4 linked regions of the Arabidopsis thaliana genome follow. The protein of the gene in region 1 interacts with the protein of each later gene in a pairwise test. Each region holds a gene or a part of one and is shown on either strand. Other genes may lie near its edges.

Region 1 (7,968 bases):
ACAGACTCCTTGGGCTCAAAGTTCATCTGAGAACTCTTGTTCTGAATTGTCTTTCGTCAACCCCAGCGAGCAACTAACGTCCTTCTATGGGTCAAGGTTATCTTCGTCCATAAACGTTGGAACTACAAATAAGCGGGTAGCACCCGTAGAGGAGTATCCAATGAAGAACCATAAAGTCCCCAAGTTGCTGCCAATGCAAGGTGGCTTAAATTATGTTAAAGAATTTCTTTGCAGGCCAGCAAATTAGGAAATCACTAATCTAGGAGTCTAAGGGTATATAGCCTTGTATTGTTTGAACCATCCCTTGTGTGTTTTATGAATTATTTGGTGTTAGTGCCTTACTCGGAATGAATTGTTGTACATGATTGCCTTGTTTAAGTCGTACAACACCAAAAGCTTCTAGATCCGTATAAGCATGCGAGTCCCCTCTAGAAATTCTGCGTTTGTTCTGTATACTACTATGATTCTATCTGGAATATCTGGATCATCTAGCTAGCAATTAAAGAACATAAATCGGCATCAAGATAAATTTGTTCTTAGTGTCATGTATCAATTTGGAATCCATAAACATTCTTATATGCACGTTATTCAAGATCACCAGGAAGAATCTTGAGTGAGATAGTAAAATAAAGAATATACTCCAACAGACCCAAAACAAAAAAGGATCAAACTGATGCAAAGAAGATCTGATTCTCATTTGGTCTTTTGTTTTTGGGTTTTATCCTCATTTGGTCTTTCTTCACAAATCCTTACTTATGTGTCTCATTTTTTTCATTTCTGTGTTTTTATCTAAAACACTTTTAAAGAAGTTTTTGAAAGAAGTACTTATATGTGACTTTTTTATTAAAAAAAATAAGGTTTCTCAATTTTTCCCTATCAAAAGAATTGGAATCTCTAGATTTTAGATAAAACTTATTATGCATATATAAAAAAAAATTAAAAAAACAACGCATTTAGACTTTGCAGTAGTCGAGATGCATACAAAATTAACCAGAAGTTGTATTCAGCAGTGGTCAATTTTTTTATAAAAAAAGAAATTGCCAATGATTAAACTGAGAGCTTGTTACCCGTTAGAGTACTTCTAAATGGCTTTAAACTTGCATCTAACAGAAATTAAACTAGAGATATTATTAGCTGGTGAAAATAACCATAATTTTTTCCCGCAAAGATGAAACAAAACATAAGTCCTTCCAAATGTTTGAAATGACTTGGCACAATTTAAGATAAGTTTTGACTTTTGACTAAATGATTAATAGTAAATGCAATTACTAATTACAACGAAAGACAGGGAGGTATGGAACAAAGAGAGTTTCCATTTGTAAACGAATAGTTAATGTGAACTGTGACAAGGGTTGTGGATGATTATGACTATTCGTATGATTAGTCACCATTCCTTAATTTCTTGTTCCCTCAATTAAGTTGTCTTCTCATCATTTTTTTTTAAAATATTCATCCTGAATATAACCAACAAACAAAAGGTTCGAGTATCTATAAATTCCGCAATGCAATCTAAATTGGACTACTAGTGAGATCTGCAACAGTGAAAAGAGAAAACAAAATGGACTTGAAGAGGTTTTGACAATGCCAGAGATAATGCTTATTCCCTAATATGTTGCCAGCCAAGTGTCAAATTGGCTTTTTAAATATGGATTTCTGTATCAGTGGTCATATTTGTGGATCCAACGTATTCATCATCAAGTTCTCAAGTTTGCTTTCAGTGCAATTCTAATTCACACGTTTAACTTTAACATGCATGTCATTATTATTACTTCTTCACTAAGACACAATACGGCAAACCTTTCAGATTATATTATCTCCATAAATGAAATAATTAACCTCATAATCAAGATTCAATGTTTCTAAATATATATGGACAAAATTTACACGGAAGATTAGATACGTATATTAGTAGATTTAGTCTTTCGTTTGTGCGATAAGATTAACCACCTCATAGATAGTAATATCATTGTCAAATTCCTCTCGGTTTAGTCGCTAAATTGTATCTTTTTTAAGCCTAAAAGTAGTGTATTCGCATATGACTTCTCGTCCTAACTTTTTTTTTAATTAACAAAAAAATCGAAAAGAAAATAATCTGTTAAATATTTTTTAAGTACTCCATTAAGTTTAGTTTCTATTTAAAAAATGCTTGAAATTTGACAGTTATGTTCAACAATTTTGAATCATGAGCGATGTCTAGATACTCAGAATTTAATCAAGATGTCTTATCAAATTTGTTGTCACTCGAGGACCCACGCAAAAGAAAAGACTAATATGATTTTTATTTGGTCTGGATATTTTTGTAGAGGATGAAACTAAGAGAGTGAAAGATTCGAAATCCACAATGTTCAAGAGAGCTCAAAGCACAAAGAAAAATGAAGATGAAGGACTAAAGAACAATAAGCAACTACTTATACCCTATTTCCCATAAAGGATTCAGGTACTAGGAGAAGTTGAGGCAAGTTTCACATGCAAGTCCCTGTCATCATATATCCATATTATACCACACCTACGTCTCTATGTGTATTTCTTGGCATCGACTTTCTCATGAATGATTCAAATTTTCATTTATTTTTACAATTTAATTCACCTAAGATTATTATGCATTTCTCATCATTGGTACATTTTCTGTATAGCGTATTTACATATATGAAATAAATTAAATATGTCCTCACGTTGCAAGTAGTTAATGAATGTCCCCACGCAAAAAAAAAATCCCTCCAAATATGTCCACCTTTTCTTTTTAATTCCAAAATTACCATAAACTTTTGGTTTACAAAAGATTTCTAGAAATTGAGGAAGATATCCTAAATGATTCATGAATCCTTCAATAATCTGAAGTTTGCGATATTTTCCGATTTTCTTCAAGAGTTGCGATATTTGTAATTTGGTGACCTTAAAACTTTTTTTGATAAAGAGTAAAACGTTTTTTCTTAAAAGTAAAACTTGATTTTATGTTTTAGGGTTCTAGCTCAACTTTGTATTATATTTCTTGCAAAAAGAGTTCGTTAACTGCATTCTTCAACACTATAAAGTGATTATCAAAAACATCTTCATGAACATTAAGAAAAACAATATTTGGTTTCGGTTAGAGCTTGGTTTTGCTTGGCTTGATTCACATACCCATTCTAGACTTTGGCATAAATTTGATACGATAGAGAGCATCTAATGGTAATGCAGAAGGGTAAAAAAGGAAGAGAGAAAAGGTGAGAAAGATTACCAAAAATAAGGAGTTTCCAAAAGATGGTTCTGATGAGAAACAGAGCCCATCCCTCTCCTTTTCCCCTTCCCATGAAAGAAATCGGATGGTCCTCCTTCAATGTCCTCCACCTACTCTTCTCTTCTTTCTTTTTTTCTTTCTTATTATTAACCATTTAATTAATTTCCCCTTCAATTTCAGTTTCTAGTTCTGTAAAAAGAAAATACACATCTCACTTATAGATATCCATATCTATTTATATGCATGTATAGAGAATAAAAAAGTGTGAGTTTCTAGGTATGTTGAGTATGTGCTGTTTGGACAATTGTTAGATGATCTGTCCATTTTTTTCTTTTTTCTTCTGTGTATAAATATATTTGAGCACAAAGAAAAACTAATAACCTTCTGTTTTCAGCAAGTAGGGTCTTATAACCTTCAAAGAAATATTCCTTCAATTGAAAACCCATAAACCAAAATAGATATTACAAAAGGAAAGAGAGATATTTTCAAGAACAACATAATTAGAAAAGCAGAAGCAGCAGTTAAGTGGTACTGAGATAAATGATATAGTTTCTCTTCAAGAACAGTTTCTCATTACCCACCTTCTCCTTTTTGCTGATCTATCGTAATCTTGAGAACTCAGGTAAGGTTGTGAATATTATGCACCATTCATTAACCCTAAAAATAAGAGATTTAAAATAAATGTTTCTTCTTTCTCTGATTCTTGTGTAACCAATTCATGGGTTTGATATGTTTCTTGGTTATTGCTTATCAACAAAGAGATTTGATCATTATAAAGTAGATTAATAACTCTTAAACACACAAAGTTTCTTTATTTTTTAGTTACATCCCTAATTCTAGACCAGAACATGGATTTGATCTATTTCTTGGTTATGTATTCTTGATCAGGAAAAGGGATTTGATCATCAAGATTAGCCTTCTCTCTCTCTCTCTAGATATCTTTCTTGAATTTAGAAATCTTTATTTAATTATTTGGTGATGTCATATATAGGATCAATGGAGGAAGGTGGGAGTAGTCACGACGCAGAGAGTAGCAAGAAACTAGGGAGAGGGAAAATAGAGATAAAGAGGATAGAGAACACAACAAATCGTCAAGTTACTTTCTGCAAACGACGCAATGGTCTTCTCAAGAAAGCTTATGAACTCTCTGTCTTGTGTGATGCCGAAGTTGCCCTCGTCATCTTCTCCACTCGTGGCCGTCTCTATGAGTACGCCAACAACAGGTACGCTTCTCCTACTCTATTTCTTGATCTTGTTTTCTTAATTTTAACTAAACAAGATCCTAGTTCAAATGATAACAAAGTGGGGATTGAGAGCCAAGATTAGGGTTTGGTTAATTTAGAAAACCAGATTTCACTTGTTGATACATTTAATATCTCTCTAGCTAGATTTAGTACTCTCTCCTCTATATATGTGTGGGTGTGTGTGTAAGTGTGTATATGTATGCAAATGCAAGAAGAAGAAGAAAAAGTTATCTTGTCTTCTCAAATTCTGATCAGCTTTGACCTTAGTTTCACTCTTTTTTCTGCAAATCATTTGAACCTGATGCATGTCAGTTTCTACAATACACTTTTAATTTTGACGGCCCATCAAATTTCCTAGGGTTTACTTCAGTGAAAAAAATTGGGTTCTTGACACGATTTAGCATATATATATAAAAATAGGGGATGATCAAGACTTATGTAACCTCTGTCTGGTGAAACTAGGGACAAAGTCTACTGATGAGTTGTCACTAGGGATCCATTTGATCATTTAATCCCAACAAAAATGAAACAAAATTTTGAGAATTTATATGCTGAAGTTTTTCAACCCTCTTTTTTAAATAACTTTATATTATGTAGATTTGTATTTAGGGTAATTTGTCCAACTAGAAGTCCTAAAAATCAATAAACACACGGATGACTTTGTCTAACATTGTTATCAGTCATCAAATGTAAAATTGTACAAATAATGAAATTAAAGATTTAGTCTCTTTTATTTTTTTTGTTTAGGGTGTATATATATATATATATGTATATTTGTTGCATTGATATATCAATGAGAGGGAGAGAACTCAGAGAAGTGTCGGAAATTAAAATGGTACGAGCCAATTGGAATCTCTGGCATTCTGAGCTTCATTTATTTGTTATTAGAAAAAAAAAAAAAAAAAAGTCCTTTAAAGATACCTTCATGATGACATTGAATCATGTAATATACACGATACATGGTCTAATTCCTCCTCAAACCCTAATTACCAATTTCGAAACCATAATATTTACTAGTATGTTTATATATCCTTACTTTAAGACATTGTTTGTTTATAATACCTTGTGAATTAAGAAAAAAAAAAAAACTTGTGGATCTATTCAAGCCATGTGTTAGAATAAATTTATAAATTTTCTCCTCGTACTGGTCAGATATTGGTCCAAACTCCAAAGCCTTCCCTTTTCAGGAAAAAAAACATTTCGAAATTAACTCTAATTAATCAAGAATTTCCTACAATGTATACATCTAATGTTTTTTCCGCGATCTTACTTATTAGTGTGAGGGGTACAATTGAAAGGTACAAGAAAGCTTGTTCCGATGCCGTCAACCCTCCTTCCGTCACCGAAGCTAATACTCAGGTACCAATTTATATTGTTTGATTCTCTTTGTTTTATCTTCTTCTTTTCATTATATATATGATCAACAAAAAATATAACCTACAAAAAGAGAGAGTTCTTGGAAATGCATTGAAACGGTTTCGTTATGGTGTTTGAATACATGGATTTTTGAAGTACTATCAGCAAGAAGCCTCTAAGCTTCGGAGGCAGATTCGAGATATTCAGAATTCAAATAGGTAATTCATTAACTTTTCATGAACTCTTCGATTTGGTATTAGGTCACTTAATTTGGTGTCGGTCCAAAAGTCCGCTTGTAGTTTTCTTTAGAAGTTGTTTTGTTTAATGTTCATGTTTACAAATTGAAGGCATATTGTTGGGGAATCACTTGGTTCCTTGAACTTCAAGGAACTCAAAAACCTAGAAGGACGTCTTGAAAAAGGAATCAGCCGTGTCCGCTCCAAAAAGGTAAAATCTACGTTGCTCTCTCTCTGTGTCTCTGTCTCTCTCTCTATATATAGTCCCTTAGTTTATATAGTTCATCACCCTTTTGTGAGAATTTTGCAGAATGAGCTGTTAGTGGCAGAGATAGAGTATATGCAGAAGAGGGTAAGAACGTTTCTCCCATTCCAAGTAATTAGATCTTTCTTCGTCTTTGTGAGGGTTTGAGTTTTCCCATAAATCATGTGTAGGAAATGGAGTTGCAACACAATAACATGTACCTGCGAGCAAAGGTTAGCCACGTTCTGTTCCAAATCTTAATCTCAATATCTACTCTTTTCTTCATTGTATAACTAAGATAACGTGAATAACAAGAAAACTTTTGTTTTTGGGTTTAATAGATAGCCGAAGGCGCCAGATTGAATCCGGACCAGCAGGAATCGAGTGTGATACAAGGGACGACAGTTTACGAATCCGGTGTATCTTCTCATGACCAGTCGCAGCATTATAATCGGAACTATATTCCGGTGAACCTTCTTGAACCGAATCAGCAATTCTCCGGCCAAGACCAACCTCCTCTTCAACTTGTGTAACTCAAAACATGATAACTTGTTTCTTCTCCTCATAACGATTAAGAGAGAGACGAGAGAGTTCATTTTATATTTATAACGCGACTGTGTATTCATAGTTTAGGTTCTAATAATGATAATAACAAAACTGTTGTTTCTTTGCTTAATTACATCAACATTTAAATCCAAAGTTCTAAAACACGTCGAGATCCAAAGTTTGTCATACAAGATTAGACGCATACACGATCAGTTAATAGATTTTAAGTGCCTTTTAATATTTACATATAGTTGCAGCTTCGATTAGATCATGTCCACCAAACACTCACAATTAGAGACAAGCAAAACTATAAACATTGATCATAAAATCATTACAACATGTCCATAAATTAATTATGGATTACAAAAATAAAAACTTACAAAAGATCTATAATGTGATAAATTAATGTGTAGCTATAATTAAACAAAATTACATTTTTTACTATAGTTACTACTTGAGATAATGATCTCAAAAAGAAGCTTCATACGCTTAAAGTCTAATTTGATACTGTCCTTTATCTAAATTACTGTTTAGTATATGGACATGAGAGAAATATGAGCAGAGGCTGAAGGCTTAAACCTTCTTCCCTCTGTTCTCTCACACAGCCGCAAGTATTGGCTTCATCACTCAGTTTTCTCTTTTCTTTATATTTGTTTTCTAATCTGTTTTTTAGTCTCAGTTCATGATTTTGCATTTTCTAACGAAGATGTCGGAGGAATTTACGTATCTATACCAAAGAGATCGTACCTCAGGGTTACTGATCTCTAGCCACGGTTTTGCTGGACCGCTGAAATGTAAAACCGAAGCAGATTTCAGAATCTCTTGAGGGGATTTTACGGATCGAGAACCTAGTCCAGCGACGTGCCATGATGGTTCAAGAGACTGTGTAAGTCCTTTGAAAGCAAGTAATGTCGGTGGTAAAGCCCCTGGTTGCCATAATTGTAGTCCTGACCTAACACTCTGCATTAAAATTAAACATCAGAATTTGTGTAACTAGTTAGAGTACGGAATACATAACGCAAAAACTGAGATCGTTCTATATTTACACTCACGAGTCTTAGCCATGTAGAGTAAGCTTCAGTAATATTGGTTTGTCTCCAGGCTTTGAGATCAAAGACATTCATA
Region 2 (4,810 bases), on another chromosome or scaffold:
TCATCCGGATCCATGCCTCAATGGTAGCACGTCGAGTTCAAAATCCCGATCACTTTCCGGAAATCTCTTGTTAACCGCTATCTTCAGATTACCCCAATATCTAGCTAAAGATATTACATAACGAAATGCTTGCAAGTGCAGTTTCAAAGACATGCAAGAAAATCCTTTTGGTGCCATTGAGGCTTCCAGTAATCTTTTTTGCTTACATATAAGACTTTCCATCAAATGCAATTCTTAAATTTTATAGATATAATTTATCCAAGAAGTAGCGATCAACATCTCAATTCTTGACACAGATTAAAGTCTCATAAAACAAACTTAACTTGAGACCACAAACAGAGTTTCACAACAAGCATACGGTTTTCAAAATACATAAAACAGAAAATAAGTCTGATAAAACATTCTTAAAATGAGACCAACATAGAGAGGTTCCACAACTAGGAGATACTTTCCAAGATCTCAGCTCTTGTTTAGTTGATAGATAAGCGTGGGATACAGAAGTCAACAAGCAGACCTGTTGGCTCTTTCACCTGAGACTCCTCGCCACCACCAAGCTGGACAAACATACGGCTCAAACACACTTTGACAAATGAAGTCTTCTTCTTGTAACATATCTTCACAGTAGCAACAGTTTTTCCCTCGGACTTATTCACTGCAACTATGATGACATCCCTAAGTCCAACATAGCGTGATTCCTTACGAGACAGGCTAGACAGGCCCTCGTAAACTCCCTACCACACAAAAAAAAAAGGTTGAATAAGATTAGATCAAAACTTTGTCATTGATCTTTGAAAATTTCGAAATTTATCTCACAACACTTTACCTCTCCAACATTATCAAGGTCTGGACTGAACACATGGAGTCTTGCACCCACCGGTTGTTTAATCAACAGCTTAAACGCTTCATCCAAACTCTTAGTCTCAATCACTTCTCCTTTCATGGGCACGCGGGGTATGTGACAAGCAAATGGGGGAGCCTTGAATGTACATCCCACATGTGCCCAATGTTCTCTTCTCGGTAGCCCTTTCTTGAAAGCACATTCAAGGCAGTCTTTGACAGTGAGTGGTTGCTCCCTCTCCCTGCACATCTTACCTCTTATTCCAGACATTTTCCACCATATACTGATGCAAGTTTTCGATAGTGAACTGAGAGCTTGGTTCATCCATTTCTCCCTGGTCGTCTTCCTTCCCAGCATTATCCACCAAATACTGAGCTGAGACGCATCTGCAAGACAAAAAAAAAATGAAAATGTTGTAGTCAATTCATATGACTCTTTCAAAGGATTAGACTATATTAAAAAGGGAGTAAACTACTATCAGCTAAAATCAATCACAGTATCTCTTAACGATGCGAATAAAGTAATGTTCTCTAGAACAAGATTTGATTCATTTACCGTAATCTTCTTGCTCACTACTTGCTTTTACGCAATCTGGATGACAGAGGCCACGCGTCTTTGCCATAGATTGCATGAATCGCTGAATCATATTCATCTTCGATTACTTATCCCTGGTTTCAAGTAGAATCCAGCAGAAGAACACATTCAGAAATCCAGTAGAGTCAAGCAGATAAGGCAAAAGGAAAAACAAAAACAAGACCTAACTAGCGAAAACCATAAACATGGTTTCAAGTTTTGACATAAACACAACCATTTCTAGTTGCAGAGGAAAAATCGTCGAACAAGAAGCTTTAGAGTAAACCAAAGTAACAATGATAGCTTCCATTAACAAAGAACAACTCTAACGTTAAAAAGGATTCAAATCATTCATCCAAAAAAAAAAGTTCAAACCCTAAAGTTTATCTCTGTTCACTAATAGCACTGAGAAAGGCCAAGTCACGGAGTAGAATCGGTAACAAATCCAAAACAAGCTAAAAGAATCCAACAGAGAGAGAAAATTGAGAGAAATTACCGGAGACACAGAGAGACGAGAATCAGAAGGAGAAGACATTCGCAATCGCCGTCGCGTCGAGAGAAACTCAGAGAATGTTCGCGAAACAAACTCTCACAGTCGTCGCGAAGATTTCCCCTCAGCTTTGTCCCGAAACGTGTCGCCTTTTTAAGACTTCAACTTTAGTCCTCAAGACGACGACGTTTGAAACTTTCCTTAAAACGTTGCCGTTTTTATGACATTGCCAATGTTTTTAAAAGTCTTTTTAACAACATCGTTTTTGCCTGTTTATTTAAGGGCAACAATTATAGTTTAACAACAATTTTCTTTTAGGCTCCAATGATGATGATCCAACATTTTGTTTTTCCGAGTTAGACATCGACTTATTCGTTGTAAATAGATTTTTTCTCTTTCTTCTTGAAAGAGTACTTGTTCTAAAAGTTTAGAGAGTGGATACCATTTTTTGTGCAACCGATCACGATCATGTCAATGCATTTTTTGGAGAGCAAGAAAATATTTGAGGCATAAGCTTCTTCAAGTACTAATACAAGTATCTCTCCATATCAGAAGAGCAAGAAATCTTCCAGTCTTTGAACATTATTTAGATAAGTAAAAGAATAATCTTGTTTTTTAGTTTGTAAAAAGATATAAGACAAAATAAGTTTAAAAAGAAAATAGTAGACAAAATATCATACGCTAAAACCAACATTACAAATTTGAAAAGAAAAAATGTGATATTGGCTTACTTATCTAATTTTAAGAATATTGGCTTTGAATTACATGGATATATTTCCTTTTTAAAGAATCGTTTTCCTAATATATTAAAAATCCTTAAAATCCACATATATATACGAAATCACCTTTTCTATTTGTCTACCTGAAAGTTTCAAGTCTTCAACGCGTTTATTATTGTTTTTCAGTTTTGCTCTAAAGATCATTTGTTGTTCCCCTTGGATTATTGCTATAATATATAGATCCTTAACTTTTTGTCTGATTTGCGTTTTCTTTGTCTCATAGAACAAGAAAAGAATATGTCGATGGTTAAGTACTACGATAAAGAGGAACATGTTGGGTTTTGGTTTCATCCTTCTGCCCAAGAACTCATCATCCGTTATATCGGGCCTAAGGTTACCAAAAGATCAAATAAAGAATTTGAATTAGAAGACAAGTTTGACATCTATGCCAAAGAGCCGTGGCGGTTGTCTCACACCGAGACTAACTTTTTGGAACCTAATGAATGGTTCTAGTTCGTGAAAGTGAATCATCTCTCTGAAAACGTTACTGGAAAACGCATCAGCCGCAAAGTCAAAGGAGAGACGGTTGATGGATGTTGGAAAGGCCATGGGAAGTTGAGTGATGTCGTGTTGGAAGATACCGGTGCAGTGATTGGGAAGAAGTCTAAGTTTCTACGTCAAAGGTGAGAGACAAGCCAGTGGTTGGACCATGACAGAATACTATCTCGAAAACGGTGGCTCATTATTCCATGTTCAAGTTCTCTGCCACCTTAAAGGACCATGATTATGTGTCTTGGTAAATTTTCAGTGAAGAGGATAATAACTTCTACTTCTATCTTATTTTACTTCAATTTTGTGTCTAGTTTGATATTTCCCTTTGCATAATTTATTTAAATTCCTCATAAAAACTTTAGGAAAATCTCGTATATTCTTGTTTATTTAAAGACATGTAGATCATTATTTTTATGAGGAGTTTGTAACTGCTCACCTTCTTGTTTTCACAAACGAAAAAATATTTTCTTGTTTTGAGGATCAAAGAGATTATCTCATCTAATATATGAGATATTAATAATGATCAGGCCCATCCATGCCTATGAAGGAAAAAGAGAAACTTTGGCCTACGAAATGGATAAGAAATTGGTTAAATTAATGGGAGATTTGCAAAACTATATTTTTTGACTACCTTTTTGCCATAATACTCTTTTATATTATTTATTTTTAAAAATATCTTTTTTCTTGAACAGAATGACCAAATTACCCTCATTTAATAATAACAAGTACTTGGAAACTTTCAATTTCCCGCCAAAAAAAAAAATTCCGGCAAACTTTTTTTCCCGCCAAAAAAAAACTTTTCCGCCAAAAATTTTTCTCGTAAAATTTTTTTCCCAGCCAAAAAATGCTTTTAAAAAACCTTGTAAATTTTTTAAAAACTCTTTAAAAAACCTTGTAAAGTTTTCTAAAAGCTTTGGTAGTTGCTAAAAACCATTGTAAATCATTTTAAAACCTCTTAAAATCTTTATAAAGTCTTTAAAAACATAGGTAAATACTTTAAAACACCTTTTTAAATCTTTGTAAATCATTTTAAAGCTTTTTACAATAGTTTTACAAGATTTTCAATCGTTTTTAAGCATAAATAAGAAGCATTGAATGATTTACAAGGGATTTTAAAAGCTTATAAAAGGGTAAAACATGATTTACAATCGTTTTTAAAGCATAAGTTAGTGGCATAGAATGATTTACAAGGGATTTTAAAAGTGTTTGTATGGTTTACAATCGTTTTAAAGCATAAGTAAGTGTTATTGAATGATTTACAAGGGATTTTAAAAGGGGTTAAAATGATTTACAATCGTTTTTAAAGCATAAGTAAGTGTCAAAGAATGATTTACAAGGGATTTTAAACCTTTGTAAATCCTTTTAAAACTCTTATAAAGTCTTTACAAGCATTTTTTAACTTTTAAAAAAAAGAATTGTAAGTATTTAAAACATTTATAACTCTTTTTGAACCATTTTAAATCTCTTGTGAACCTTTACAAAAGGTTTTAAAAAGAGTTACAAGAATTTTTAAAAGTTTTTCTTATAAATTCTTTTAAAATATTATAAAAACTCTTGTACATCTTTTAAAACTCTTTAAAAATCCCTTGTAAATCTTTTAAAACACTTTCGAACCCTTTAAAAATCTTTTAAAAACTC
Region 3 (5,325 bases), on another chromosome or scaffold:
TTGTATGATATTAATGTTTTTACGTACGTGTAAACAAAAATAATTACGTTTGTAACGTATGGTGATGATGTGGTGCACTAGGTGTAGGCCTTGTATTAATAAAAAGAAGTTTGTTCTATATAGAGTGGTTTAGTACGACGATTTATTTACTAGTCGGATTGGAATAGAGAACCGAATTCTTCAATCCTTGCTTTTGATCAAGAATTGAAACCGAATCAAATGTAAAAGTTGATATATTTGAAAAACGTATTGAGCTTATGAAAATGCTAATACTCTCATCTGTATGGAAAAGTGACTTTAAAACCGAACTTAAAAGTGACAAAAGGGGAATATCGCATCAAACCGAATGAAACCGATATGAAACCGCATCAAACCGATATAGCGTGAACCAAAATGTGGATTAATGACATTTAGACCGGAGGAACATAAGTGGGGACTATACGGCATCGTTTTAGTGTATAAGTGAATTCGCATATTCACGAGTTCCCCGTATTCACCGGTTGTTATATCGTCGATTCATCGTCGTCGACGGCGAGTACTTGTGACCTCCACACCCAGATTAATCTTCTATAACTGATTTTATCGCTTAGACGATCACGATCTCATCGATTAACTGTGAGTATAATCGATTCCTCCTCTTTATTTTGTGTGTTGTATCGATTTACGATAATTTTTTGGAGGAACATCTCCTTTCGGATCGGTTTTGTTGGGAATTTATATTTCTTTGCCATGGTTTTATCTTGATTTGGTGATTTACCTTGTGTTTGTTCTGGTGTACTATTTAGCTAATTTAGTATAAGCTTTCAGATGATTCTAGGAAACTTTTGTGCTACTGTTTTCGGTTTTTGGTGATAGAACTATGTAGTTTTAAGGAACCATATAAAAATTTCGTCTAGAAATGTTTCTATGGTTACTGATCAGTCATCAGTGGTAGCGATATGAAATTGGAATCCTGTTTTTTGTTACACGGTTCGATTCAGATGCTTTCGATTCAAATCCTGTTTAAGCAGCTCAGGTTCTTTAGAATTCTTGTTTTTTAAATGCTTCTTGCCTGAATGTAAGGGATTTTTTTTGCTATTGCTTTGGTTCCTGTGATTGTTTTTCTTACCTCCTCTGATGTTACATGATCAGCATTTGTGAATTTGGATTCTTGGAAGCTAACACAATTCTTAGGATTAAGTTTCGTATGGTCTGAGACTTTGAGTTCTTGACGTTTGGTCTGAGGAACTGTTGGAACTCATTGATTTTGTATCGGTTCTGTAGCTTCAGTTCGGACTTGATCATCTCAGGAATTGGAAATTGTTTTTTTTTGATGTTACAATATTTCGGAGTCAGATAATTTTCAATTTCTTATTTTGTTTATCCCAGTCAGAGGTCATTGTCGAAAAAGTACGGATTGATCTGGATATAGCATGATGGTTTGAGTTGTATAAACTGGGTTACTGAGCTGTTCAGATTGTGCTAGATTCTAGTTTTACTTTGATGTTTGGAAATTATGTGCGCGTCTTTGTGTTAGTGAACATTACACACTGAAACATGAAAATCCATTTGCTTTGTTGAGACTCCATCTAGTTACAACTGATAGCTATTATTGGTATATTTCTTATGGTTTGAGCTTGTGATCAATTTTGGTGGGGTAAATGGGATGTTAATATTGCTCTTGAGGAATATATGTGTTGATCATGACAACTACGAAATTGTGAATAGTTCATTGATTTACTAGATTTTGTTTATTAGGCTCGCTGAGTGATTTCTTTTACATGCTCTACAACTTCTTGGAGAATGCTGTGATCGTCTATGCATTTCTATTCGCAGCTAACTTAAACTCTTTTACATAATTTTTTACTTTAAAGGACAAATGAAGCATATAGTAAAGATCTTGAGCCTGTTGGTGGCTATCTCTGCCTTCTGGATTGGTCTTTTGCAGGCTGCAATTATTCCTCGAAGCCATACATGGTTGGTGAGTAACAAACAATTTTGTCCTCTTTTTTGGTTTCTTGCTTTTTTGAAATTAGGATTCTGTTCTGATTTGGTATTATTGCCGGTCTGTCTTACAGCTACCGATCTACTTTGTTGTATCCCTCGGATGCTATGGCCTATTAATGGTTGGAGTCGGGCTCATGCAGTTTCCTACTTGCCCCCAAGAAGCAGTTCTGCTGCAGAAGGTACTTTTGAGACTAGCTCTTTGTTTGCCATAGTCGGCCTTGTTCTTATTTTTCATCCTGCTCTATACGGATTCGTGTTATCTAATGTTGACATCCTTCAATATTTTTGCTAATTTAGTGTCTTTTATCTGTTTCTTTGGTTGCAGGATATTGCAGAGGCTAAGGACTTCTTCAAGCACAAAGGGGTAGATGTTGGATCGAATTGACACAAAGGCTTTTATCAGACCATTCATCAGAGATATTTTTCGTTATTGACAAAAGACTTAACTGTACTGTTTGGAATTTTTGAATTTAACAGTGTCACTGAGGTAAAACGCAAAAGCTTCGTATGCATCCAAAAGTAATCGCAAAAGTATAACAAATATTCCAAATTGCAGAAACTTATTAGTAACAATAGAAGCATTTACATTTTCTTGTGGTGAATTACCATAAAGCTTTGGCCTTTGTGTCTAGTAAGTTCTCCAGGTATGCAAAAGAGATCGCATCAACAGATTGAATCAGGCTATCCTCTGTACGAAAACTCTGATATGCAACACACCAAGAAGGTATTAAGTCGCTCATAACTGAGTAGGTTTCAAAAGATACAAATGAAACATTTGGAACCAAACCAGTTTTTAAAAGATACTAAGCAGGAAAATCAAAAGACACTGAACCAAAAAGATCATAAAGATATGACTTTGATATTCAACTTGCATTTGCCTTCTCCTTTCTTTATCTGTCCACAACAACACCTAATTCAAACCAGCTGCTTTTCTGTGTGTTTATGGCTCTCCTTTCGTTCAACCATGCCACAGTTCTTTATGCCTTAAGAATACGCTCCTCTATCGACAATGCTAGCACATTCAGCTCTTGAAATCTCTTATCAGTCTTGTCATTGTTATCAACATCACCTTCACCAAAATCATTGTTTCCCTTTTCAGAGTACTGCTCATTGGATTTCATAGTTTCTTCACTTCTGATGCTATCATCATGAAGCAAACAACAATCCTGTCCCTCATTTCCATCCCCTACAGCGATGTGAATGTTTGACTCATCAGATGACTTCAGAACCTTATGCTTATATGCTTTTCTTGTTTCATCTCCATTCGTGCATCCAGAAGCAAACTTTTTATGAGGGCTAGATTTTTTTTGTTGTTGTCTGCCTTTAATGCTAGCACCTTCTCATGCATTGATCCTTCCATCAGCATCTTCCTTCTCTGCTTCATTACATCAAACACTTTGGTTCGAGCTTGAGCTCTCCTCTGCTGACCCTTCAACAACTTTGTTGGAGCTTTTTTTTTGTGTTTGATCTTTTCTTCTTACTGTTTATGGTTGTTTGTCTGATATTGTTGTTGTTGTTTTGGTTAAGGAGGATGTGGGTGCTTGTGTTGTATTACTCTCCAAGTACGATCCTGTTTTTCTTCTTCTTTTCTCTTCTCTCATGCATAATCTGATTCTGAATTTATAGTGTTTGTGTTGATATTTGATGATAACAGTTGTGATTAGATGCAATAATCTTGATGATCTTAATGAAAATGTTTGTTTGGTAAAAATTAAAAAAATTAAGTTTGACCGAGTCACATGATAATACCGACATTAGTATTATCTAATCTCTATATATTTGTGCTTTGCCTCTACTCTCTTTTCACTCTCTCTTTTTCTCTCGATTCCATTATCTCTCTCTGTAAGACACAAAACAAACCCTAATAATGCAGTCGTCGAACGTAACTGATTGCACAATGAGGAAAAGAGGAACAAAAAGAAAGATTGAAATTGAGAAACGCATGACTAAACAACAACGATCCGTCGCTTGCAGCAAACGCCGTCCCACACTCTTCTCCAAAGCGGCTGATCTTTGCCTTCTCTCCGGAGCCAACATAGCCGTTTTTGTAACTTCTCCTGACGAGAACTCCGATGTCGTTTATTCATTCTCGGGCTACTCTCATGCCTCTGAAATTGTTGACTGTTACCTCAACAACAAGTCTCCTCCCAAGACTACTATTAACCCTGAATCAGCCAAGTTTTGGTGGGAAGAGCCCGATCTTTACCGTGATTGTGACGATCTGTCTGAGTTAAGAATCATCGAAGATCGTTTGATGAGAACGAAGAAGCATCTCATGGATTATCTTGAGAAGAAAGAAAAATCACACTCTGTTTCTAAATCCGATCAAAACCCTAACAACGACAGTGGGTCTTCTTCTTCGTCTTCTCAAATTGCTTCTGATTTTGGTCAAAACCCTAGTACCTTGTCTCCGTCTTCCTTAAAAATTGTTTCTTTTGATCAGAACTCTTACTCCTCACTTGAGCCTTCGTCACAAGTTACTACTTGTTTTGATCAAAACCCTGTTTTCTCTGTTGGCAGCGAGTCATCATCTGATCAATCTCGTTACTTGGTGAATGAAGATTCTGGATTTGTTGACGGCCTCTTATGTGAAACAGAGGAAGAGAATAACGGAATGCGTCTTCCCCAAGAAACACAAACACAACCGATGTTCACAGAGGAGGATCAGAGCTTTTGGGAAAACCTAGATGTCGACGACGTGTTTGGTCTTTTTAAGGACGACAACAATCTTGAGGTTCCTCTTCAAGATCATTCCTCAACCAACGAAGACGACGAGTTATTGATCGACATAAGTGAATACTTAAGCGAAGAAGCAATGGAATGCCCATGTTTTAGTTAGTTCTCACAGCTTGATTAAGCACGATCTCATAGTTAATTACGGTTTTAGTTAGTTCATTAGGTAATTACCATTTATGTTGTTGTGTGTAACGATCTATAGATATCTGTTTTATCTCAACTCTTTTGATTCTGTAATTTCGATTTTGGTTATGGCTGTGGTTAGTGAGACTAATTGTGGTGAATTACAATATCTTTATGTTCCCTTTTTAGGCATTCTTTCTTGTCTAATGTCAATGGATGATGCCAAAAAGAAGAAGTAGAATGGTGAAAACAAAGTAGCTTAGGGTTGAAAGAGACGATGTTCTATTTGAAACATTGTTACACCTGCAAACACCTTTGTGTTCTTCTCAGAAAGTTAAAGAGATTAAAAGCCATAAAATCTGATGAGAGAGAGGGAGGGCTTGGCTTGTTTTATCTCTTCTTCTTGCCACCTTTGCCTGACTTTGAAGAAGTTCCAGAGGTTGAAGTTGTGGCCTGAGGTTCCTGCTTCTTCGCTTTCTG
Region 4 (6,370 bases), about 16 Mb from region 1:
TAAGCTGGATTGGCTCTTCTAGGAGATATTTGGTTGCTTACCATTAGGCGAAGCTTCCGTGCAGCAAAAGCGCTCGAGTCCTGCATCTCTTTATCCATTGCTTCATAACCTTGTATCAACCGAGTGTACATGGTTGGAACCTGTGTATCGCAACAATAACTTTACCAATTAAAAATAGCTAAATCTCTCGCTGTTTCTTTCTATTTCTCATCTCAGGCTAAATTTCTCTAAAGCAAAGCATGTTTGTTTATATATCTAGAGCGCAAGAAGCAAACTGGAAACTGATCAACTCAGCCAAGACTATCATTTTGTTACATAGTAAAATTGAGTAAACTCACATTGAATAGTGAATACTTCCCTCAATTCAAATACTAACTAACACTAGAAACAATTAATAAGCTTGCTATATCAGGCTTAAGAAAAGGATTATGCAACAAGAAATCAAACAATTAACTTGAGGCAGGGACAGCTAAGCATAAACTAGTATTATTTGTCTGGAATACAAGTAACAAAAAATAAGACTTACTCCAGTAAATACAGTTATGGAGTCGTTGGTTTTTTCATCATTCACCGGATATGATTCACGCCATCTACGCCAGATTCCACTAACACTAAATTTGGGCAAAAACTCCACCTTGAAAAAGGAATGTGAAAATCAATTAAAAACCTAAAACTAGCCTGATGTTTTCCGAAGGTAATGTATTTTGAAAGAGCTAGCCAAAGCAAATCTCAATAGTATAAGTTACCAAAGACCGTGCGTAAAGAGGAGCAAATAAAGCGTTGAAAAGCCCATGAACATGATGTAGTGGGAGGCAGTGGAGAAAATGATCAGCAGATGTGTACTCCCAAGCTTCAGTGAGCATTCTAACCTGCAACATATACAAGCTTCTAGCTTATAAGGTACATCATAATTTAGATACATGCAGACCATTCTATTGCAGGTTGGGTAGATTTGAAACATGACATGCGCTACATAAGGAGGTCGGATATATACCTGGGAATTGATGCTGTTGTGAGTATGAACAACTCCTTTTGGCTTACCAGTTGTACCACTAGTGTAGACGATCAATGCTGGATCATCTGCACAAATAAAGGCTGAAGTGATGCAGAAAATCCAGACCAATAATTGCTTGAGGTAAGGTGGCAAAAATTAAAAGAGCAGCCTTCATTATAAGTTCACCATCTCAAGTATATTCAAAAACTTACCTAGAAACTTTCCTTCTGCTTCAAAACTGTCATCCTGAAACTGATTGCAAGCAACAGTTTCCGAAGTTGAGTTAACAACAGGAGGAATAAGATGAAATCGAGCACCACTCTTTGCTGCGATGGTTTTCATAGTTTCACTATGGTCCTCTGTGCTCAATAACAGAGATATATCCTAGAAACCGAAGACAACGAGGTTAGATCCCAAGAAAATGTTAATCATTTTTTCTCGAGAGTAAAAAGAGCATAAGGCACACTTATTTTGTGAAACTTGAATGTGGTAGAAAACAGAGCAAACCAGAAAACTTCTGCCTTTTAGAATATTTTCTACTTTGTTCTACAGAGTACCCTTTTTAGTCTATGGAAAAAGACCTAATGCTAGAAAAACCAAGAGCTTGGATCAAAATTCTGAGATCACAAAAATAAGATCAAGAATACCTAACAATTGAGCCGAAATTAAAGCACAAGGAAATAGGAAGGCAAGTAGATTCCATACCGAATCATTCATGACATGTAAGAGTTCAGCCTCAGGATAGCTGAGTGCAAGTGGAACCGCTACACCACCGCTAAACCATGTCCCCAGGACTCCTGCAACAAACTCAGCTGAAGGTTTTGCCACAATTCCGATTCTAGCTCCTTTTAGACTACCAAACCCTTCATACTTCTTAGTTTCTTGACCTCCCTACGAAATTTATAGAAGACAAAAAAAGTCAATAACCATAAAGCTGTAAACAAACTGTGTGATAGCTTCAAGTAGTAGATATAGTAGCTACAATTTCAAACCAAAAACCATACATTTGTCGTATCATCTTTTAAGAACAATTTAGATATCCTCAAAGCAGACGATGTTAGCTGGCCATAAGAGTAACTCTTTCCATCGGCTTTAATCGCAATCCTATCACAAGAATTAGACGCTTCTGAAAAAGCTGCTTTAAACACTTCCATGAGTGAACCAGACTGTGAAGCTGCAACATTTTGATTACATAGATAAAATTCAGATTAATATATAGAAACTACATGTACAAAAAAAGAACAGATTGAGTTCCTTGGAGATGCTGCAAAATTTTCAATATAAATTCAGATCAAAACAACAACTTGTTCAGGTTTTTACGGATCATCAATGTTACTATATGGAAAGCACGAATCTTTAAGACATTTCGTCGAACATGTAACATGCAAAAACCAAACAAAGGTAAAGAAGAAAACTTACAGAAGAGATGGTTAGATTGGAAGAATCGAAACCCAGAATTGGAAAACGAAGTAGAAGCTGGGTGGGATCGAGGAAGAAGAGGAGAGGAGAGAATAGCGTAGGAGTTGTGGTTGAGTCGATGGTTAATTAAAGACAAGTAGTTGAAACTCTTTAATGTTGTCGTAGCGGTCATTTTTAGGTCTGGTTCGTTAAAAGGTTTCGACTTTTTTCGCAAGTCGTACAGTCAAATTACGTAGCCGTTCTTCTTAGGTGGTGGTTGCAATCGCCAAAAGAGAGCCTTCGTGTCGATCATGAAATAGCGACTGAAGCGTTTGGCGACTTTGATTCAGTGGAGAGTTTGGCACGTGGCGTGTTTTGATGATTAAAAGTGAGTGACAGGCGATAATGGGTTATTCTTTAATGACGCTTTATTAGGCATTTTTTTAAGGTTAATTACTGATTTGCTTTTTCTCATTTATTTGTGTTGTGAATTTCTTTCTAAGTATATTTACACAAAATTAAAGACCATCTGAATATTGCATTTTGAGTGATGTGATCCTGACCGTTGATGAATAACAATTGTGGTTAGCTAACATCTTATACATATGCTTTGATATGCATTGATTTTATTATTGTGAAGTTTTGAACTCTAGAGGAAGATTCTATTTAATGCCAACATGCAATTAATAACTTTTTTTTTATCAGTACCTTTTAAAGGGAGTGTACATCTTAGGTCTCCGGTTTGAGCATTGGAGAAGACTAATTTTGTTATATTAAATTATTAATCATGAAATTAGATTTCTTTAATCCAACTCCATCTTCGTCATCAACACATCATCATTCCCTCCAAGATCACTCTCTCTCGCTTTTGAATACCTTCGCGTTGTTCACAGAACCTTTTTGTTTCTTAGAAAACCCCTTGGAGCTGGCCAAAAAAAAAATCGAGAGAGAGACAATCATTCATCGTTCCGAATTAGGATCCAGCATTCCATTTTTGTTCTGATATCTGTCAGCCATGGCGACTCTCCGATACACTGATCTGATCTGATCTATGAATCGACGCTTCTCTGAGGATTCCTCACCGTTCATGCTCTAATCGGTTCGCCAAATTGAGGAACTAACTTGTGTGGCGACTATAATGTGTCAAGGACCGATATGACAGGAAACGCAGATTCCGGCAAAATCGCGACAGAGAAAGACCCTAGGAAGCTCGTTTTCACCAAATTGGAGGTATCTCCCGTCTTCCGAGAATCTCCTGTTAAAGAACTTCCTCTTTTTCCTCCGATTTCTCGGTATTGTTCCAGTTTCTCTGCCAATTTTCACTAGAGATGCTTCTCGTTTGAGTAATTTCAATCCAAAATCTACTCTCTGATCTCCACTGGTCTTGATTTTGAAGCAGAGAGCATTCAGAAGCAAAGGATAAGACAGATGAAGAAGGCATTACTTCGAGGAAACACAAAGGATGTCGATGCAAGCAGTCCAAATGTTTAAAGTTGTAAGTTCATTTCAGGATCCAAGAATTACTTAGTGTTAAGCTGATAGAGATTTGAGTATAATGTTGAATAGTGAGATTTCTATTATCTGCTGTAGATTGATGCATTATTGGATATTTGTTTGACGCTTGGTTATTAGGTACTGTGACTGTTTTGCATCAGGAGTGGTATGTACAGACTGTGATTGTGTTGATTGTCATAACAACTCTGAGAAATGTGATGCTAGAGAAGCAGCTATGGTGAATGTACTAGGTCGCAACCCAAATGCCTTCAGTGAAAAGGCTTTAGGTAGCCTAACTGATAATCAGGTATGTTCTTGACACCTATCACTTTTGTAGGTTAAGCTTCAAAGAGGTATATTTCACATCCTTTTTCATTTGTAAGTATCTGGGATGTTCTGTGTTTTGTATTGTAGTGTAAGGCTGCACCTGATACTAAACCTGGACTGCTTTCGAGAGGCTGCAAATGTAAAAGAACCAGGTGTTTGAAGAAGTACTGTGAGTGCTTTCAGGCTAATCTTCTGTGCTCAGACAACTGTAAATGCATCAACTGCAAGAATGTTAGTGAAGCGTTCCAGCCTCCTGCATTTTCTGCTCACAATTCCCCACAAGTATACCGGAGGAGAAGAGACCGAGAGCTAACTGAGGCAAGTGAAATATACTACTTGCTTCATAACATATATGCACTTTTGGGTTTATCTCCATAAAACTCATTTTTCTGTCCGGAATAGCAGTGGAATTCTTGTCCAGCTCCGTTATTTTCGATACCTGACAATTCCATTCAAAATGCTCTGGGTTCCCCTATGTCTTGCTCTCCTAAACTTCCTTACAGGTTCGATTTTGCATTTCCTAAAATGATAGTTCATCTTCCTTCACCTCATAATCATAAATATTTTAACTGAATTTTCATTGTGCTACTAGAAAGAAAAGGTCCCTCATGGGATACACCTCTACACTTCTTCCGGACTTGGGAGATTTATGCTCACTTCTCGTTGCAGCGTCAGAATCTGCTACAACAACTGCAGGTATATCTGTAGTCTCTTACAAAATCTACACTTTACTGGATCTACTATTCCTTTGGCTTCATCAACATACTTCCTTTAAAATCTCACTTAGAGGACCAGAACAGGATATTTACAAAGCCTGATGATAAGGAAGCCATTGAGCTGTCAAGTGAGTCTGAGAGTCGTAATGTGGAAGAAGAAATACAATCACGTGGAAGATTGATCGAACTGATAGATGTTCAATACAATGGAGAAGAGGATTCCCAATGTAAGACCAAGACAAGTGTCAATGAAACAGATATATACATGGAGCAGGAAAGGGCAGTGCTTGAAACTTTCAGAGACTGTCTCCAAAAGTTCATCAAATCGAGACTGGAATCATAACAGGTAATAATTCCATCTCATTTTGATAATCCCTCCATCCTCAAATAAATCCAATTACTGCACTTTTTTGTTGCTATTTATGACAGGTAAGGTTCATACAAGAAACAGAGAGCTGAACCATAGTTTCTTGATTAGGCATGGAGCTGAGACAGATCAACAATTTTAAACACGAACTAACCATTTGAAACCGCATTAAACACAAATCAATATAGGACTGGTGATAACGACATAACTAAATTTACTCCTCCAGCTTTATGATAATGAATAACCAAATTAATAGAGCGATGACTGATTAAATACTAGTAAGACATTTTCTTAATCTAAAATATTTCTCACTCCCAAATAGCAACCTCCATGAATCCATCCTCAGTTGCACATCCCCTGAACATCCCATTAGAGTTAAAACCACAAACCACCTCTCCTTTATTCGAGACAGCAATGAGTCCAGCGAACCCTTCGTCAAGTCGATGCTTGATGACGTAATCAACCGCTTCTTGGAGGTTAAGTCCTTTATACTCCATAACAGCTGACACATCACGAGCTAGGGTTGCTCTTATAATGGCTTCTCCTTCTCCGGTACACGACACACCACAAAACTCCGACGCATACGTCCCGGCTCCTATCAGCGGCGAGTCACCAATCCTTCCCATCATCTTGTTCATTAAACCACCCGTGGATGTCCCGGCGGCACAATGTCCTTTCCCGTCAACCACAACGCACCCGACTGTCTCCGGTGCGTAAATGCTGATCGGAAGACCGTTCATTTGGATTGGACTGTCGGTCGCAGCTGCACCGGCACATCCCATCGGCGGAATCCGGTAATCAAACTGGTGAGAAAGCAAAAAAAAAGAAAAAGTTGAGGATACAAAATAAAGAAAAACGTACGATGAATAAATGGACGGTGGAGATTTAAGTCAAAAACGTACCAAGATGGAGTTAGCTTCCTTGGCCAACTTGAGCATTCCTACGTTGTCGTCCGTGACAAAGTACTCGTTGTCCACAATTTCAACTCCCTTCTCATTAAACCGGCTTCGGTCAGAAGATTTATCTAACCAAGTGGTTTAGAATAAAAAGTGGAAGGGTAAAATAGTAAATAAA

The links.
Region 2: the proteins of SHP1 (region 1) and AT5G18037 interact in a two-hybrid assay, tested with the Arabidopsis thaliana proteins (one large-scale study listed by BioGRID).
Region 3: the proteins of SHP1 (region 1) and AT1G48150 interact in a two-hybrid assay, tested with the Arabidopsis thaliana proteins (one large-scale study listed by BioGRID).
Region 4: the proteins of SHP1 (region 1) and AT3G16160 interact in a two-hybrid assay, tested with the Arabidopsis thaliana proteins (one large-scale study listed by BioGRID).

Annotation. Positions count from the first base shown.
Region 1 is NC_003074.8:21,734,937-21,742,904, forward strand, and holds SHP1 (K-box region and MADS-box transcription factor family protein), read left to right. Parts: upstream 1-3,223; 5' UTR 3,224-3,839; intron 3,840-3,946; exon of another isoform or gene 3,947-4,195; coding exon of another isoform or gene 4,196-4,213; coding exon 4,214-4,440; exon of another isoform or gene 4,441-4,980; intron 4,981-5,329; coding exon of another isoform or gene 5,330-5,367; intron 5,368-5,536; coding exon of another isoform or gene 5,537-5,573; intron 5,574-5,738; coding exon 5,739-5,820; intron 5,821-5,973; coding exon 5,974-6,035; intron 6,036-6,164; coding exon 6,165-6,405; intron 6,406-6,488; coding exon 6,489-6,530; intron 6,531-6,638; coding exon 6,639-6,830; downstream 6,831-7,968. Other genes in the region: AT3G58770 (uncharacterized protein), read left to right, coding at 1-247; GAUT15 (galacturonosyltransferase 15), read right to left, coding at 7,519-7,803, 7,896-7,968. UniProt on the Arabidopsis thaliana protein: Probable transcription factor. Interacts genetically with TT16/AGL32 in a partially antagonistic manner during flower development. Is essential for the coordination of cell divisions in ovule, seed coat development and endosperm formation.
Region 2 is NC_003076.8:5,969,636-5,974,445, reverse strand, and holds AT5G18037 (NAC (No Apical Meristem) domain transcriptional regulator superfamily protein), read left to right. Parts: upstream 1-2,879; 5' UTR 2,880-2,917; coding exon 2,918-3,133; 3' UTR 3,134-3,345; downstream 3,346-4,810. Other genes in the region: AT5G18040 (target of trans acting-siR480/255 protein), read right to left, coding at 471-731, 824-1,224, 1,394-1,490.
Region 3 is NC_003070.9:17,781,544-17,786,868, forward strand, and holds AT1G48150 (MADS-box transcription factor family protein), read left to right. Parts: upstream 1-3,853; coding exon 3,854-4,825; downstream 4,826-5,325. Other genes in the region: DPMS3 (dolichol-phosphate mannosyltransferase-like protein), read left to right, coding at 1,859-1,960, 2,058-2,165, 2,312-2,371; AT1G48145 (plant mobile domain protein), read right to left, coding at 2,964-3,269, 3,323-3,370; AT1G48160 (signal recognition particle 19 kDa protein, putative / SRP19), read right to left, coding at 5,236-5,325.
Region 4 is NC_003074.8:5,472,268-5,478,637, reverse strand, and holds AT3G16160 (Tesmin/TSO1-like CXC domain-containing protein), read left to right. Parts: upstream 1-3,290; 5' UTR 3,291-3,547; coding exon 3,548-3,684; intron 3,685-3,791; coding exon 3,792-3,887; intron 3,888-4,024; coding exon 4,025-4,193; intron 4,194-4,300; coding exon 4,301-4,531; intron 4,532-4,618; coding exon 4,619-4,716; intron 4,717-4,805; coding exon 4,806-4,909; intron 4,910-5,000; coding exon 5,001-5,272; downstream 5,273-6,370. Other genes in the region: AAE13 (AMP-dependent synthetase and ligase family protein), read right to left, coding at 42-140, 527-634, 747-869, 995-1,080, 1,207-1,378, 1,700-1,885, 1,999-2,168, 2,414-2,585; ASPGB1 (N-terminal nucleophile aminohydrolases (Ntn hydrolases) superfamily protein), read right to left, coding at 5,605-6,099, 6,199-6,285. UniProt on the Arabidopsis thaliana protein: Plays a role in development of both male and female reproductive tissues.